Linked DNA regions of Caenorhabditis elegans. The protein of the gene in region 2 interacts with the protein of the main gene of each other region in a pairwise test. Each region holds a gene or a part of one and is shown on either strand. Other genes may lie near its edges. The genes, in order: wip-1 and wsp-1.

What was found.
Region 1: the proteins of wsp-1 (region 2) and wip-1 interact in a two-hybrid assay, tested with the Caenorhabditis elegans proteins (one study listed by BioGRID).

What each region holds. Positions count from the first base shown.
Region 1 is NC_003281.10:5,016,757-5,021,620, forward strand, and holds wip-1 (WH2 domain-containing protein), read left to right. Parts: upstream 1-1,882; 5' UTR 1,883-1,891; coding exon 1,892-2,002; intron 2,003-2,049; coding exon 2,050-2,272; intron 2,273-2,467; coding exon 2,468-2,533; intron 2,534-2,627; coding exon 2,628-2,779; intron 2,780-3,082; coding exon 3,083-3,178; intron 3,179-3,437; coding exon 3,438-3,580; intron 3,581-3,706; coding exon 3,707-3,934; intron 3,935-3,982; coding exon 3,983-4,052; 3' UTR 4,053-4,364; downstream 4,365-4,864. Other genes in the region: larp-1 (La-related protein 1), read right to left, coding at 74-402, 507-894; mdt-11 (Mediator of RNA polymerase II transcription subunit 11), read left to right, coding at 4,470-4,607, 4,657-4,771, 4,820-4,864.
Region 2 is NC_003282.8:8,188,246-8,195,325, forward strand, and holds wsp-1 (CRIB domain-containing protein), read right to left. Parts: upstream 4,951-7,080; 5' UTR 4,908-4,950; coding exon 3,848-4,907; intron 3,273-3,847; coding exon 3,126-3,272; intron 2,889-3,125; coding exon 2,780-2,888; intron 2,732-2,779; coding exon 2,462-2,731; intron 2,009-2,461; coding exon 1,813-2,008; intron 1,765-1,812; coding exon 1,501-1,764; intron 1,456-1,500; coding exon 1,333-1,455; intron 1,278-1,332; coding exon 1,101-1,277; 3' UTR 659-1,100; downstream 1-658. Other genes in the region: pct-1 (Cyclin-dependent kinase 17), read left to right, coding at 32-190.

The DNA.
Region 1 (4,864 bases), on a different chromosome or scaffold from region 2:
GAAGTTTCGTGTTTCATTTACAACTATGGCTATGAAAATCCGTGTTAGATTGAAAAAAAAACAATTAACTCACTGAATTTGATGGGGAGACATGTCCGTTAAGCTCGGCTTTCGCTAGAGTTGGCCAATCCTGAGTGGCAGCAACAGTGACTGTTTCAGTAACAGGAGCAGTTGCTGCTGGGGCTGTGGATGTTTTCCATGGCTCTTTCTTTGATTCTCTGGATTTTGACTTCTCTTTGATTGGCGCTGCTTGTTTAGGAGTTGGCTCAACAGCCCGTTTCTTTTCTGGAATTGGCGCTGAAGATTTCTGAACGACTGGAGTTGCAGTAATAATAAATTGGTCTGCGGCGGTTTCGGATTTTTGTTCCTTTTGAGCTGCGGCAGCTGCGGCTTCAGCTTCTTCTGAAACTATGATTTTTTTTTGGAAAACGTGAAAACCCAAGAACACTTTCAAAAAAGGCATAACCAATTCGGTTTATGAATATATAATTTTAAAAAAATCGCACCTTTGTTTTTGAACCAAGCGTTTATAGCCGGTAATGGAGCTGGTTCCAGCACAACAGGAATCTCAACTGGTTTCACCTCTTCTGTTGCTACCTTTTCAGCTGGTTTTTCGGTTTTAGTCTCTCCTCTCGGTTTTCGATCGCCTTTTCTGTTATTACGACGTTTTCCTTTTCCTTCACCTCGTGGTCTTTCCGAACGTCCACCAACATTTTCCTTTTCACGTCTGTTATGTGGTGGATGTGCCTGCTTTTCGGGTTGACTGTTTTCGTTTTGTGTAGAAGAATGAGAGCTATCTTGCGTGTGCTGAACCTGCTGTGATGGAGACGAAGCGTCTTCCGCCTGTCCAGAAACTACTTTTGCGAATGAGAGCATGGGCTGCTTCTCGGCCATCCGATCTTCTTTTCTACTTGCTGTTGATGTTAGCAAGTTTTTCTTACCTGGAAAAAAATATTTTGGACTGAATTGGCATTGGAAAATTTTTAAAAAACGTATTCCGAAGTGCGACAAAAAAAGTTGAATAAATTTACAAGCTAGAAAATGGAAACATGGAAGAACATACTATCCACTTTTTCGATTTTGAAGAACATCTAAATTTTTTAATGTTGTTCAGAAAGATTGTTCCGGTTTTTTCAACTTTCTGAAAATAAGACGGTAAAGAATTTTATCAGAATCGTTTGAAGTTTTGGAAAACAAGAAGACTATGGATAGAGTTAATACTTTCGATAAAGTTTTTAATCCGCCTGAGATTGTACCCTTGACGACAAATGGAGAGAACAGAGAAATGAGAGAAGATATTTAACCTTTAAAAAAGTGTTTGAACTTATTTGTTAGAAACCTTAATCAATGAAATGTAAAAGAGAAATCGCTTAAATTTAAATATTTGTCCAAAAAATCGATACTATTTTATTCTGAAATATTAAAAAAAACAGAAAGAAAGAAAGACATAAAATAGCGAAAAGTTCAATTTCTGCGTAGCGCCCCTATGCTTTACCATTGCACTAGAAGTTTACACACAGTCTGGGGGTACACACGAAATGCCCGGCAGCTCGCGCACCGAGAACGCGTCAATAACTAGCCCTCATGCGTCTTTTTGGTCGCCTTGACGCGATTCTCGTGTCCGCTGGTTTTGTTGTTTTGCCGAGTAAACACACGTTTTGAAGGCCAAGACGGGACAGATTATTTTTTTTTCAATTGTTTTTCTGCATGAAAGAAAGCAATGTTTCTTTACTCTATTTTCCCCGTTTCGTAGAAATTTCAATGTCTCCTCTTCCCTAGTTTAACCTTTTCTCAGTTTTGAAATAATCTTTCGATAAAATCAATGATGACTCATAAAAGTTTGTCTTATTAAAAGCGCTCATACTTCCTTAACTTTTCACTCTTTTAGATAATGCCTCCACCACCTCCACCACCGCCGCCTCCACCTCCGCCGCCACCTCCGGCTGCATCGGCTCCGCCACCATCCAGCAATGCTCGAAATGCTCTTCTTGGCGATATTCATGTGAGTTTAAAGTTTTTTTAATTTGTAAAAATAATTTAAATATTCAGAAAGGTTTAAAACTGAAAAAGACAGTCACGAATGATCGATCAGCGCCATCTGTTGGAAAAGTCGTTGGAAGTAGCGGATCTTCATCGAATGGAAATTCTGGAAACGGAAATGGTCCGGCTGCTAAACCTCCACAAATGTCTGGCGGATTAGGAGGTCTTTTTGCGAATGGAATGCCAATGAAACCAAGCGAGAATAAAATTAGACGAGCAACTACTAGTATAGGTATATCTAAGTTTAAACTTTTTGGCAATTTAACGCAATTCACAACAAGAATTTAAAGTACTAGGAAAATATACATTTCAATGTTTTAAAGTATTTTTTCTCGCACGGAGAACAAACTGGCAAAAAAAATTGTTTTCAGTGATATCCCTTTTTAAAATAACCGTTACCCATTATAACCCTCTATCCCACTTTCAGGACCCCCTCCAACCGCCTCATCAGCTCCACCAGTACCTCCTCCTGCTCCAGTTCCAGCTGTTGAAGGTACACATTCAGTTTTTGTTGTCGTTTTCCCCCAATTTTTGGTTTTTTCACTAATTCCAATTAACCCAAGTGAAAAAACAAATGTTTTTTTCAGGAAAAAAGCCATCGATTGTCTCATCATCTTCATTTTCTCATCATGGTGCCACATCTTCGGCTCCTCCTCCTCCGCCTCCACCACCGCCAGTTTCAGTTCCAAGCTCAAAACCGACTCCACCTCCACCGCCACCAGCTCAGCAGAAACCATCGGTTAGTCATTGAGAAATGATTTTTTAAAAAAGAAAAAAATAACTGTTTGGAAGTGCTAAAGAATTACCAAAATTCCGCAGAATAAGTCATCTTTTTTTCTTAATTTTATTCGTTTGTAAAGTTTTGCATGAGTTTGAAATTCGATGTTTACGCTTTCGAGAGATTGTAAAAAAATAAAATCGAAGGATTTTTAAAAAGAAACTTACAACTTGATATATTAAATTAAGCATTTCTGTGATTTGCTGTAAAATGTGAATTAATATTTTTTGTCCAATTGTATTTATGTTTTAGTGTTTCTGTCAGTTTCAGAGTGATCGTGAACAGTTCCGAACGATGAGACCTCTACGACCAGCAAATGATGTGAAACCGACAATGTATCGACGAAGTGGAAGTTCAGAGGTTTTTTTTGTTATTTTGTCGTTTTGCAGTGTTTAGTGGTTTTTAAAGTTTCCTTATGTTTTATTCTCCGGAATTATATTGTGCGCCGAGTCTTATAGACTCTGCGTCTCACCCTCTGACAATATGATAAGCATGAGAAGTTATGTAAAGGTAGGAAGAATCGTTTCGCAATAACTAGAAATTTATAATACCACTTTATGATCTAGTTATTTTGTCCAGAAAGGTAACACCAGATGAAATAATTTTTATTTAATTTCAGGATATACCGCAAGCGACGTCGGCAACCAGACTGGCACGTCCATTAGCTCCTCCGCCAGCTCGCCCAGCTGCACCACCACCGCCAGTACCAACGCCGTCCATAGCACAAATGTCCAGCAGATTCCAGTCGCCAGCGATATCACGGTTAGAAAAATTAACGATTTTTTGAATAACAAATAATTTTAAGTTAATAGTTTCGAGTAATTTCATGTGTATGTTATCAAATTGTTTTTTTTTAAATTAAAACCGGCACAAATCGAACATTTTCAGGACTCTTGATGATGCTCCCCCACCACCTCCACGAATCGCTTCAAAAACATCAGTTGCTCCAACATCATCTCGGGCTCCACTTCCCCCGTCTTCTTCATTTGCACCTTCAATTTCAGCATCTCCAGCACCTGCCCCACCTCCACCTCCACCGCAGGCTGCTTCACCGTATCCTGGAATGAAATCAACTGCGACTGTCTCAGCGAACGTTCCATTTCATCCACTTAACAGGTATTTTTTAAATTCATTTTTTTTTCTTCGCAATCTTTTAAATTATAGGTTCCACTTTCTACCGCTTTCTCAACTGCCACCACCACCTAAAGTTTCGTCTGGAAGTATTCGTGCCTGATTTGGTGCTGCCAAAATGCCTTAAACTATTTTTCTCATTCTCACAATGCTCATGACGTTTCTTTCCATCAAAATGTTTGTAAAACTATTGAAAATAGTCCGTCAATCCCCCAAACCCGTTAAATATAAAATTCCCACTGTGATTTGATGCCCCCATTTTCACTTTCCCCTCTTTCATTTATATCCAACGCATTTCTAAATGTGTACCACTCCCGATTCTATTATTTTCTCTTCGAATAACATAACCTGTTTCTAGTCCCATTTTTTCCTGGGTTTCTTCATGGTTTCTCAATAAATCTGTGAAAATTGTCATTCAACTCTTGTTTCTAACGAAATTTATTTGTTTTTATCATTTTCCAAATATCTTCACAAAACATATATGTTTATAAAATATATTTAAAACTCAAAAATTGCAGTTATGGAGCCAAACCCATCCGATCCTGTTCTAACAGATCGGATTCAAGCAATCGTGACGACTGAAAAAAGTATTGATGAGATGATGAAGTGTGCTCGAGAAATTATTCAAGATTTGGGAAAAGAGAAACAAATCGGAAAAGTTTGTTAAAATTTTGAAGTTAAAAAATATAGAAACATATTTCTTTCAGAATAAAATGGAAGATAATGCGAACAATTTCAAAAAACTGATAACTCAAGTGGAAAATGAATTGAGCGCTCAAATGCAATACTTATCGCATGTTTGTGTTGGATCATCACATCAAGGTATTACTCATTGGAAATTATTAATTTATTTCTACACGTACTTTTCAGGATCAACATTCGGTGTACTTCAAAACTCACTTCTCGCTCAATCTG
Region 2 (7,080 bases):
GGAAGTTTATTGAAAATTCAACAAATTTCAGTGTTGCCACCTGCGAGATGAGCAATCTGTCCTAGAAGCTGATGGTATTCACATTGAAAGGGAACTTCTGGCATCAGATCATCATCACAGCTCTCGTCGTCATCATCGTGGAACTCTTGTAAAAGATAAATATCGAATGCATTCGAGTCATCACACTTAGAAATAATTTTCTCAACAAAAAAAAACATATTTAGAATTAAATTTGTTTCTTTTTTCCCCATTTCATCTCAGATTGTGTTGCACTTTTACGGGTTCTTGTCAACCAATTCCGATTCGTTTCCTCCCAACCAAAATGTCCTTCCAATGCGGTCACTTATAGATCAAGATGTTTATGAAACATGTTTCCTAATAATTTATTGTGTAATATTTTCTCTTCATATCCCGAGACTCCATCATTCTTCTTAGAATTTTTCCCGTTGTTTCCCGTAACCAGTAATAGCGATTTTCAAATTTACATTTTCTGTTCATAAATCACACAAAAATCTACAAAAAATCATCTCATAATCTCAATTTGTTCCCAAAAAGCACACAGAACCATTTTTTTTGCTATTTATTTTAGCCGTTATTCTTATTGTACACCTGTGAATAAACAAGCTCTACCCGGAAAGCTTCTACTTCTCATCGAATTGGAAACAAAAATTATTTATGTGGATACCCAGAAAAATGATAATATGCAAAAAAATTATGAGCGTTTCTGCTGTAAGTCTAAAAAGGGACAATGGTTTTGGATGAGAGGGGAGCATCACAGAAAAATCTACGGGAGAAAAACAAGAAGACTGGTTGAGTTTTAAAAGTTTGTTGGTATTTCGGGTGTGTGGAAGGGGGCTTACGAAGAGAAATTCACACGGAATAGGCACTGATTTGGAGAAAAAAAAAAACTAAATGCACAAGTTTTACAAATTCGTCACTTTCAAAATGTATGATAATTTATCTTGGAAATTGACGATTCTGTAATTTTTCAAATCAAGAATTGTACTTGAGGGACTAAAATTACCCTGTTTCACACGGGATTTGCACAGAAAAAGGAAACGAAAAATGGAAGGAAAACAAGTTTAATGAGATAATTTAGTCTAATCTGACCATTCATTTTTGTCATCTTCATCGTCATCATCATCACTAGTATCATCTATTCCCATATTCATTCGACGTTCCTCAAGAGCCTTTGCTAGTGCTCCAGCCAATCCTCCCATTCCAGCGGCTCCAGAAGTCGTACTCTTTCGACGTTCTTGCTCAGCAGCTGCATCCACCTAAAGTTTAAAAAAATTGGAATCAATAGTAATTTTCGGTTAAAAATTGTCTTACATGTTTTAATTGTGCTCCTTGTCGAATTTGGGCCATCACATCTCCACGAGCATCACCACCAGCCGATTTTGGTGAATCTGCAGTTTGTTGAACGGATCGAAGTTGTTTTCCAGCTTGGATTTCCTGAATACAAAATTCAATAGTGAACATTTTTAAAAGTATACTAACCGCTAGCAAATTCGATCTTCCATCCTGAGCAGGTGGTAGTTTTGCGAGCACCGATGCAGGTCCTCCGGCTCCTGAAGGTGGTGGTGGAGGTGGAGGGGGTGGAGCTCCTGCTCCTACTGCTGGCAATCCCATCGGTGGTGGAGGAGGTGGTGGTGGAGGAGCTGCGGATGATATCGGAGCCATTCCAAATGATTGTGGTGGTGGAGGGGGTGGAGGTGGTGGAACCGCATGTGGTCGATTCTCTGGGGTTCCATAGTTGGGCGCCTGAATATAAATTAATTTTTTTCAGAAAATCACTCTCCGGTTACTTACTTGAGGTAAAGGTCTTGATGGTGCAATTCCACGGGTACCAGATGACGGTGGTGGAGGAGGTGGACGAGCTGGAGCCAATCCATGAGATTCGACACGTGTTGGAGGTGGAGGAGCGGCAGGTGTGGAATATGATGAAGCACCGCTTCCAATCGGAGCAGATGATGGGAATGATGGTTTGTATTGACGCACTGGTGTTCTGAAAATTTTTTTTTCATTTAAAAATAAAACTTTTTTGTTATCGTATTTCTAATATGGCTGAAATACGCCCTCACCAAATGCAACACTAATTTCATTTCTAATATTTCTAGTATTTATATTAAATATTTCATAATATTTCTGGTTCTCAGCTACAAAAAACAGTAGTCGTAAAATATATTCAAGGGTTAACTGTAACAGAAACATATTACTTTTAACTTTTTTTGTAAGTTTGCGGAAAAAAAACTACATCGAAAGCATTTCGGGGGAGAATAATTGGGATTGCGTTGCCATTACTCTTTTTCATGGTCCGACATCTACCGGGTTTCGACTCACACAGCGCATATGCATGTATCTTCACAGGGGCGAAACCCAGTAGATGTCGGACCATAATTAAATTTATTTTTTCTGGTTTGGAGTTATTTTTTTCCGAAATGAAAACAAAAAAACTAACTGATTCCATGACTGATTCATCTGTGGATGTTGCTGAATTGGTGGTGGAAGAGGTGATGAGATTTGTGATGGATCCAAACTTCCAACAGATACATATTTATCATAGTTCTTGGCAATGAATTTTTTCACGAATTTCTTATCATCCTCATTCAGATTATTGCTTTCCAATCCAGCAGCCTTTAGAATATTTTTAGTAGCTTCATCCATATCATCGTCGTAAACTGTATTCGAGAATCCACTATCCTGATTCCATCCAACATGAGCTTTATGTCTGAAATATTTAGTTTAATTTAAACCATTAAAACGGAATAAATCTCACTGAAAGTTTGTTGGATTAGAAATATCCTCTTTCTTAATTTTCGATTTTTTATCCTTCTTTTTGTTTTTATCTTTCCGGAACCATGATCCACTACTGCTAGCATTTCCATCTGTAAATATTGAAAATATTTAATTAAAATTAATGTTATTTTTTGAAGAGATTTCTCACCAAATTTATGTAACAATCTTTTCAATTTATTAATCATTAAAATATGAGCAAATTTTGCAAAGTATGCATAAGAAATGAGATATAAAATGTGATTTTTTTTAAGTTTACGTAATTTTATTCAGAAATTCAATTACTGACTACGAGAACATCATTTTTCAATTTCCAAAAAAATATTCACCTGTATGTGTATGTGATTGTGGTGCAGCAGCCATAGTTCCCATTTGTGTTATCCCTTGACCTCCGCCAATTGCCATTGGAGGTCCTCGAATTGTTCCTCCATAAGCCTGTGTGATTTCGAATTGTCGTGTTGGAGTGGATCCGATTCCTGAAATAATAAATTATTAAATATAGAAGTTCTCACTGTCAAGTGCTCTGTTCTTTTTCATTTCAATTCGATCACCCAATCAGTTAAAAATCATCTTTCTCTATTCTCCAGCATTTCTGCTCAACAATGATGTTCATGTGCTCTGAGCGCTTGAAGCCGATCAAGTACTCGGTCGGCGGTGCTCATAACATGACATGAACACAAATAATCGGTCCGAATTTCTCGCCATCCTGGGTTGGATGTTTGCTTTCCAAATTTGTGTGAAAAACTCTTATAGAACCAGATTCTGTCTATCAAATTGATCAACTCAAAGAAAAAACGATAATATGGAAAGATAGTGATCAAGTAAACAAAAATATTATGATAAAGTGCAAATACACATCATGAGTTCAACTTGTTGACACTTCCTATACTTTTAGAAGTTTCGAAAAACTAAATTCGTTTTTAAATTTTCAAGCTTCACAAGCTGTGTAATTTTTGGGAGATTTTAAAAGGTTTTAGAAACTATTGTAGAAGAGTAAAAATGATGAGGTGAAGATTCAGACATCAGAATATTTAAAGTCTGTAAAACAAACCATTAAGCGAAATTGATGTCGAACTAGAACTTTTCTTCACTAATCGATGCCTTGCAGGTGGATGAGATGGAATTGGTGGTGGAGTATCTGCTTCTACAGATGATGGTGTTGCACTGCTACTCTCTGTACTACTATCACTTCCTCCAGAACAGTAGATAGGTTCTTCTTTCTTTGTGACCATAACAGATACTTGACCATTTGATCGATGAACTAATACGGAATCAGAATGAGGTGCAGGATCAGGATTCATCGATACTGATTCATAATCGTCGTCTTCGTCACCGAAGTCATCCGTATTGAATACGTGTCGAGAACTCACATAGTCACCACGAGATACTGGTTCTTCTGGGATATGAAATCGTACCTTATTTCGAGAAAGTGGGGGTGAATAGTCTGGATCAGGACTCGGAGCTCTATGTCGACGAGGTTCTTGATGATGATGTGATGATCGATGACGAGGTCGGAATGCTAGCTGCTGTTGTTGCTGCTGATGATGTTGCTGTTGTAGTTGCTTTTGTTGATTGTGATAGTAATAGAATGCATCAGCAGATATTGGAACATAACATCTTGCATAGTTCTGACGCCTTGCATATGTACCTGTGGATCCTCCATACCTTGTTGAATATACTGGATCTTGGTATTCTGCAGATGAGCTTGTTGAGCTTGACGTGGAATCAGGACCTCCATAAGTCGAATAATCATTTACATTGTCATATTGTTCCATTTCATAATATCCTCCATTTGGTAGAGTATGACTCCGATGGGTAGTACGAGGTGAGGATCCCATAGAATCAGGGAAGCTAGAGCATCCTCCACGTGCAAAACGTTGCATATGGTTATGGTGAAGATGACCGCCAGTACCGGAAGAGGAAGTGGAGGATGGAAAGGACGAATAAATTTGAGCCGCCGACGAAACGGTTGACGGTTTATTGGACGACGGATTGGTTGTCGCAGACGGTGGCGGAGGGTGGGAAGGAGGAGGAAACGATTGAGCGACCGGCAGGTTGTGGTACTGATAGCGGAGGCGGCCGGCCGGATCCTCGCTTACCACCATCCACATGTTATTATTCTTCGAATGGCTACTACTTCTGATACTTCTGAAAGAAGGCGAAAAAGATCGTCGCAAATTATGGAGATGAAAGCGAGAGAAAAAAGAGTATATGGGAAATGTCGAAAGGTGACGTTTATGGAATCGAAAGCTGTGAGAATCGGAATTTTCAGGTCATAAAATGAAGGAATGGAACAAATTCACTTGAGATATCCGAGTGATGTGTGAAACAATTGAAAGGAGAGATGTATATAAGGGTTCCAAATTATACCTCTAGTTGACTTCGAAAATGGGCATTCCAAAAAATGTTGCATATTTACGCAAGCATAATTTGTAACATCCTATTCTTCAAAAAATCTTGCTGAAGTCTGATGAAAAGTGAATTTGGAAAAAAAAACGTTTGCATTTCTAAATCTTTTAAATTGCCATGACTTTCTGATTGGCGTACAAGCACTTAGTGATTCGAACGGATATTCAGAGAATCATAGAAACAGAACGAAATGAAAACCGTCATAATACACATCATTATTGTATACCGTTTCGCCTCTTCACACCGTTCGGCTTCTCTCCCTCTAATTTTCTCTCTCGCCCAATCGTTTCGATTCGGAATCAAATTACACAACACACTACCACAGTTTGGCGGCAGTGAGATGTGCATATTGACAGAGGAAACAGATGTAAATATTAATTGAATTCCTAACAACTATCTATTTCTATTCAAAAAATGATATTTTTTACATATTCCAAAAATTTTCCATGTAAGAAATGAATAGTAAAAGTGACCGAAATGATGGGGCGAAAACTGTGGGGAGGTGAACTGAAGCACTTCTCTTCTCACGAGAGTTAGGCGGAGTCAACACCGATGAGTATGTGTATGTGTGTATGTGCTGCCCTGAACCTCTAACGGAGAGAGTCTCAATATAGTTAAACATTAAAAAACTGAGAAATAATAAGATAATGTTTCTATTAGTTTGTGACTTAGGTGTCAATGTGTGGCTACCAGAAATACTTTGTAAGAAGTATCGTAATTTTTTTCTTGAGTTTACAGTACTTTTATAGTAAACGAGACACCGTTCTTAAGGGTGATCCTTCAAATTTAAAACAGCGGTAAGACTGAAAAAACTAAGATTTTACTTTTTTGTTTGAAAGCGTGTACTTCAACACAAAAATTATTCAATCATCGTTTGACTACTGTCACACCCGCTAACAACAACACGTAGGAACAGCTACACCTCTAGACGTCAATAATGACATTCGGAAAACGGAAGGAACAGCCAGTTTCACTTATTATTAAATAATTTCTACACTTTTTTCACATCTGCTTGTGTTCTGTTAACAGATTTTAAAGATATACTATGTTTCAAAAATAACCTGCGCCAAATACAAAACTATATACGAAAACCTAATTATAACTTCCTCTCAAGTGTCGACTTCTCAAAAATTAATGCATGAACATAATACAACCGCATAGGATTGCTGCAGAAGAAGAGATGGAGACTTGAAGCACTATTGTAAAAAAGAGAAGAAAATAAAAAGTATGAAAACCTTATAATTGAACCAGTGCTCGTTCTTTGTTCAGATTGAACATTGTAGAGCACAAGGCACGGGTAAGATCACGTAGATCTCCATTGAATCCTGTACTCGTCTTGTCCTACTCCTTGCTCTTTCAAGTGGCCCGCTTTTCACATGCGTCGATTGAAAGTGGCTCATGCTTTAGAGGAACACAAAACTGAGATTCATGATAGGTCAGAACAAATTTCTATTTTTTCAAATAGAATTTTATAGATTGTAAGCAATATAACTTCGAATCAAGTGACACATAATGACATATCGTATTGTAAGTTAGGAATACAGTAGACTACAGTAAGACCATTCCGAGATATCAGGTACGTTTTAATAAGTTTCAATTTCAACTTTTTTTTCCGATTATCTATTATAGTAAATGACAATTTGTATTAATTTCAATGGATTGGTCATTTCAAAAAATTACCGCTCCAGAATAATAGAATAGAATAATACGATCGAGATCAAAAATAAGACCAACAAACGTCGAACAATTTTCGAAGAAACCAAAAGTTGAAAAATTGGAAAAGTTGAATAAAAGTCGATAAATATGCCAATAGACTGTGATATGTAATCTTCTTTTCCACTCTCTCAATCTTTTGCCCTCAAAGCCATTCGTCCA